2 linked regions of the Callithrix jacchus genome follow. The protein of the gene in region 1 purifies or fractionates together with the protein of each later gene. This does not show direct contact. Links are inferred from orthologs where the notes say so. Each region holds a gene or a part of one and is shown on either strand. Other genes may lie near its edges.

Evidence for each region. The genes of interacting proteins can lie anywhere in the genome.
Region 2: the proteins of MAPK7 (region 1) and PFDN6 purify together in Homo sapiens (affinity purification with mass spectrometry; 3 studies listed by BioGRID and IntAct, with this or other methods). This does not show direct contact. The link is inferred for Callithrix jacchus from reciprocal best matches to the Homo sapiens genes MAPK7 and PFDN6.

Annotation. Positions count from the first base shown.
Region 1 is NC_133506.1:83,281,127-83,283,930, reverse strand, and holds the end of MAPK7 (mitogen-activated protein kinase 7), read right to left. Parts: coding exon 2,373-2,804; intron 2,278-2,372; coding exon 1,598-2,277; intron 1,278-1,597; coding exon 1,144-1,277; intron 1,013-1,143; coding exon 859-1,012; 3' UTR 553-858; downstream 1-552. UniProt on the Homo sapiens protein: Plays a role in various cellular processes such as proliferation, differentiation and cell survival. The upstream activator of MAPK7 is the MAPK kinase MAP2K5.
Region 2 is NC_133505.1:41,531,052-41,534,349, reverse strand, and holds PFDN6 (prefoldin subunit 6), read right to left. Parts: upstream 1,800-3,298; 5' UTR 1,764-1,799; exon of another isoform or gene 1,756-1,763; intron 1,616-1,755; 5' UTR 1,529-1,615; coding exon 1,465-1,528; intron 1,218-1,464; coding exon 1,147-1,217; intron 1,066-1,146; coding exon 941-1,065; intron 729-940; coding exon 599-728; 3' UTR 516-598; downstream 1-515. Other genes in the region: WDR46 (WD repeat-containing protein 46), read left to right, coding at 2,217-2,285, 2,383-2,592, 2,690-2,770, 2,914-3,026, 3,146-3,233. UniProt on the Homo sapiens protein: Binds specifically to cytosolic chaperonin (c-CPN) and transfers target proteins to it. Binds to nascent polypeptide chain and promotes folding in an environment in which there are many competing pathways for nonnative proteins.

The DNA.
Region 1 (2,804 bases):
CCTTCTTCCTCACTGTGGACCTGTCTGGGTCACCACAGTGTGCTAGGTGAGTGGTGCAGAGTAAACAGAGTGAACAGTGCATTCCAGGCCACAGCCCAGCAGTCCTCTGGCTGCTCTTAAACCATGTCCCATCTTTAGCCTCCCTACCACCAACTTACTCCCTTGTGGTGAGCACCGTGGACCCCCAGCCCACAGCACTATCATACTCAGCTTCCCCTGATGGCCCATCCCAGCCCCTGAAACTCTATGCCAAGGCCACAGCTACTGCATACCACCCTGAAACAGTCACAGCCAAGGTAGGCATGCATATGAGGCCTTCCCCACACCCTCTGGGGGTTGAGGTTTAGCAACATGAGTAGGCAGAGGACAAACTGCAGGGTTGGGAGTCGGTAGGGACTGAAGGGCTCAATAAACCTTCAGAACCTGAATTAACTGGCTTCGTGCACACAAACATATTTGCTTAGCCCCGAAATGTAGGCACCTGGCTCCTCCTTGCTCCCCTACTGATGGTGTCTTACCCCAAACCCCAAAAATTACACCTGGAGTCAGACGCAGAAGGGAACCTTGTATTTCACAGGCCTCATTTTGATGGCAAAAAGACAGTGTAATAATAACATAATAATAATAAAAATATAATACTGAAAAGGATTGTTCAGGGGGAGTCGGGATCTCCCGATCCTGTCATGGCTCGGTGGTGGCTCAGGTGGCTGCTTAAGGCTGAAAGGTGGGTCTGAGAAGAACCTGCAGAATAATCCAAGCTGAGCTTCACCTGCTGGGTCCAGAGCTAAAGCCTCTGAGAATGCTCCCATGGATCCTGGAACTAGGTCCACTATAGCAGCAAGGCACAGGCTGTGGGCCTCAGGGGTCCTGGAGGTCAGGCAGGTCAGCCAGTAGCATTGGGGAGTCCATCTGGATCTCACGCTGCAGGGACTCAATATCGGCAGGGTTCATACCATGGCCTTCGAGCCAGTCAGCAAGCAGGGAGGCTGAGAGTGAGGCTGAATCTGCCTGGCTGCAGGGGAAGGGATGGGAGTGGTGCTATTAGCCTAGGCTGGAGCCTCACCCATCCCACAGGTGCAGGCCTCCTGCACCAGGAACCTCTCCCCACAGCCCCATTCTAGGAGCTCAGTCCAGCCACCTTACCCATCCTGTGGCCCATCAGCCAAGCCCATGTCGAAAGACTGGTTTAAAAATTCCTCCAGGTCAAAACCAACACCGTAGCCAGCCCCACTGCCCTTTGGTGTGCCTGAGAACACAGGGGGCAGGGGGTCCTCCACCTGCAAGGAATGATAGGTTACAATGCAGGCAGACTGAGTCTGCAGGGCACCCCATCCCAGTGCTGCTGACTACTCCACCTGGATACCTAGGAGTGCTAACACCAGTCTCAGCAGTCAGTGCCAGGCACTTTCCAGGCCATATCTAACTTGTCTCCTAACAACATTTTCATTGGCATTATGCTCCTTCTGTGAGCCAGAAGGCATATTCAGGGATAAAGCGCCATGTGCTGCTCAGTTTTTGTGGAATAAGGACCACTTCCTGAACCCATTTTCCTTTGGCCCAGATCCAGGTGTCTCCATGGCCTGGGCCTCCCTCTCACCTGTGACTTAGATAGCTGCTGGGTCACCAGGTTGACATCAGGTGACTCTGACATGGAAGACTGAGGGGCTCCCCCTCCATCTGGAGGTGGCAGGCCAGATGGGAAGTAAGGCAAAACTCCTGGGGTGCTGGAGCCAGGCAACCCAGGGGGCGGCACAAGTGACTGGGGAGCCAGGAGGCTGGTAGAAGTGGCAACCTGGAGTGATGCAGGGACAGAGATAGGTCTAGGAAGGCCAGTGGGGTGGGGTGCAGGGCCAGGGGGTGGGCAGGCAGGCTGGGGTACAGGGCCAGAGGTGGAACCTGCAGGCTGTGATTGGGGGCCAGCGGGTAGGGCTATAGGGCCAGGGGGAGGGCTGGTAGGCTGGGCTGGGGTTGGCGTTGGTGCTGGGGCAGGGGTTAGCACAGAGGTGGGGGCTGGGGCTGGGGGCCGGGCCATTCGAGTCCAGCGTTCCAACAAGCTTCGGTCATTGTCACTGAGTACTAGTCCAGCCAGGGGGTCAGTGGAGGGGCCCCCAGAGGCTCCAGCCCCCCGTTCCTTTCGCTCTCGCTCCTGCCGCCGTTTCTCCCGCTCCTTGGCTCGCTCTTGCCGCCGCCGCCGCTTCTCCTCCCGCTCCCGCTGGCGCTCCTGGGCTGTCACTGGCTTCCGAGGCTCAGGAGCCTCCAGGGGTGCGCTGGGGCCATCTGCGGGGAAGTTGGGCAAGGAAGAAAGTAAAAGCCTGAAGCCTTGTCCATGTCCCAAGTTTCCCCTCTACCCACCCGACCTACCCACAAGGCACCTCTGAGCCGGCTCTGCAAGGACTTGAGCAGCGCAGCTTTGAGAGCAGCCTTAGTGTTGTCTGAGATGGCACCCTCTTTCTTCGGTGGGGCAGGCTCACTGGCTGCTGCGGGTGGCTGCAGGGTCAGATCAATGGTGTCAGGTGCAGGGCCGGGGCACGCTGGCAGGGCTGGTGGGGGAGACTCCATGACACAGTCCCCACTGGGAGCCCAGGGGCTAGGCATCTCAACATCTGGACAGCCAGGCTCACTAGCCACAGGCTGCAGAGAAGGCTGGAAGCGAATCTGTTGGCGGATGCCCTCGCGCCTTGCATGGAAGTCCTCAATCTCAGCCACAATGGCCTCTTTAATGCGCTCCCGAGTGAGGGCTTCTCGGTCAAAGGCAAAGTCAAAGGGCGGGGCACAATCAGGCTCATCATCAGGGTCATGGTACT
Region 2 (3,298 bases), on another chromosome or scaffold:
ACTTGGTGAACAGTTTCCTCAAACAATGCTGCAAATGTGTATAAAACAATTTTTGGACAAAGAAATGGCTGAACAACCTTATGGACAACATATAAACTTAGGAGGACTTATAACACCATAAAGCATTACATGCTAGGCTTTTAAGTCAGTTTAAGCTATATTCAAGCAAATTCTAGGAAGACAGGCTGAAAAGTACTAATAGAGATGTCAGGACTGCTGGCAAGGAGGGTAATCACATTTCACCTTGGGGCCTCATGTTAGAGAACTGTATTCTTCAATTAAACTGACATTCCTCACATTCACAAATGTAAATGCCCTTCTAAAAGAATCATGCCAACCAAGATGAGGGAGAGTTAAAAGAAGGTTTGAGGACATTTGGGATTTCACTTTCAAGAAAGAAAACACTGTGCCACAGAGAGATTTCAAGTGCAAGAGTTTGGACCTGAGGGAGTAATATAGGTGGTGTGTGTTAAGGTGGAAGGGGCTGTGGAGATATGCCTGATCAGGAAACAGAGGCAGGTGTTTTTGCATTTTATTAGCTACAGTATAGATCCCAGAGCTGCCTCATTCCCGCCCCTCCCCTTCCCCCACCATGGGGTCAGGCCTTGCCAGGAGCCCCTGCCTTTGCTGCCTGGGCCCGCTGGAACTCCTGCTGCAGCTGAGCAAGGGTCTCTCTCTGTTGCTCTGACTGCCGCTCAAGATCCCGGAGCTGGGATTCGTATCGCTTACTGAGGAAAGACAAGCAGAAAAGGAGAAATTAGTGGGACTTACTATGGAGGGTGCTAAACTCAAGAAAGAGACTTCTCTTTCTTGAGATCTAGGGAAGGGTGCAGAAGGGGTGTTGGAAGGGGTCTGGAGGAACTGGACTAGGGGCGACTATGGAGAGCTGTTCTGCAATGGTTCCTCAACTCCTCTACTCCAATGGTTCAGTTAGACTCACATTTCAGCTGTGATATAGTCCAGCCTCTTCCCCACTGTGGCCCGAGCCTCTCCCAGCTCCTGTTTGACCAGCACCGGACCCAGAAGTTTAAAGACCACGTTGGACCCATCCAACAGGGCCAGTTCCTGATGGAGGGATGGGACATATGTAATCAGAACCATGGCCAGTACAGGCCCCTCCTCGCCGCACAAATCCCAGTCCCTCACCTCTTTCACGATGTTATTTTCTGTTAGTTGTGCTTCAAGTTTCTGCCTCCCCGACATGGATTTACTCAAGTCTGGGGATGAGAGGAAAGGCAAGATTAGAAACATCAAATGTGCCACCAATCCCCACAATCCTAGTCAGGAGGAAATGGATCTGAGGAAGTAAACAAGGATGGGGGCAGCGGGTCAGTGAATAGGGACGAGTACTGACGCGGGAAAGTCTCCGCACGCGACGGCCCAGATGGGGCAACAGACCTTATCCTAGTATGGTTTTGGGTTGTGAGTGCATCGGGCGAGGCCACACTGACCCTGCTCCCTTACCCTTCTGTAGCTGTTGATATTTCTCCACTTCTCCTTGCAGCTTCTTTTGAATCAGCTCCGCCATGGCGGGGATGAAAGCTTAAGGGGAGCGAGAGAAGGGCGCTGGATCTTACTCTCTGGAAGGTACCTGAGTTCCCCTTTCTGATCTGGCCTGCGGAAATGATGGCACTCTTAAGAGGCAGCCCTGAGGGGGACCGCAAACTCCCCACGTCCCGGATATCGACTCCACCCTGTTCCCAGGAGATGATGGGCGAAACGCGAAACCCCGAACCCCTCAACCGAAATCCTAACCTACTCACGTTCTCCCTTTAGTAGTAATAAACCCGGAAGTAAACAAAGAATGCTGGGAAAAGACTGTGTCGGGAAGTTTCTTTCTGATCCTTGATGGGAAGTGTAGTTCTGACATGTTTAGTGAGTGGCGTTCTGCTAAAAAGACTAGACTCGGACATTTTTAGGCAAGACGGGGAAACTAATCCAGAAAAAGAAATCGCACCGCTACTTAGTCCCTGGTCCTGGACCTGCCCTTTTTTTTTTAAAGTCTCTCTTGTATAAGCTGTCGCTCGCGATAAGGTGCCAAGAGCTGTTCCGCCTCTCTAAAGAGAGCGTGCCCTCACTCAAGATGGCGTTAAGAGAGCTTCAGATTTGGTACGCTGCTGATTGGATGACGGACAGAGGGCTTCCGGAAGTTTTCAAGGCGACTGTAGGGCAGCTGAGAGGAGTTTTGCACGTGGATCGCCGTACGGGTGGGCGAGATGGAGACGGCCCCCAAGCCGGGCAGGGATGTCCCGCCCAAGAAGGACAAACTGCAGACCAAGAAAAAGGTAGAGGCCTCTCTGGGTGGGAAAATAAGTTTTTAGTTGCGGAGTCGGGGGGCGTGGCGTAGGTGCGGAGTTATTAGGGCTACTGATCTGCCCGTAGAAACCTCGGCGATACTGGGAGGAAGAGACTGTTCCGACCGCAGCCGGAGCCTCTCCAGGGCCTCCTCCTAACAAGAAGAATCGGGAGCTCCGTCCCCAGGGAGCAAAAAGTACTCACATCTTAAAGAAGTCTCGGATCTCTAAGAAGCCTCAGGTCCAGAAGAAACCCCGAGAATGGAAGAATTCGGAGTCCCAGCGGAGCTTGTCCGGGGTGAGCGTGGGACCTAATGGGTGGCGAGGCAGGTCGAGAGTGAAGGGGTTGGGGTCAATTTAAGGCTGCCTGCTAATTGCGTCCTTCCTTCCCCTAGGCCCAGGACCCATTCCCAGGCCCCGCCCCCGTCCCTGTGGAGGTGGTCCAGAAGTTCTGTCGCATTGACAAATCCCGAAAGGTGAGGTCCAGCTGGAGAGTTGGGAAGTGTTGGAGGCCGGGAGTGTCTGAGTGAGTTGGATGGAGGCTGAGCCAGGTAGCCCTCCTGTGACCCCACTTACTCTGTGGTTCTTCTACCACTCCTGTCTACCAACAATGTTAAAGCTACCACAGTCTAAAGCCAAAGCTCGAAGCCGACTTGAGGTGGCGGAAGCTGAGGAAGAGGAAACAAGTATCAAAGCTGCTCGTTCTGAGCTGCTGCTTGCTGAGGAACCTGGGTGAGTGGGCCCTAATCTGGGCCACCCCATTCCCTGCTTTATAGGACTCTCTCGTTTTTATGTTGGTACACTTGTTTCATATTGGGAAACTTTACTGCCATCCTAACCCTTGCTTTCAGGTTTCTGGAAGGGGAGGATGGGGAAGACACAGCAAAAATATGCCAGGCTGACATTGTGGAGGCTGTGGACATTGCAAGTGCAGCCAAGGTGAGCGAGGAGTTAAAGGAGCCAAAGGGTTGATGGGTGGTGCAGGACAAGAGAAGAATGGGGGC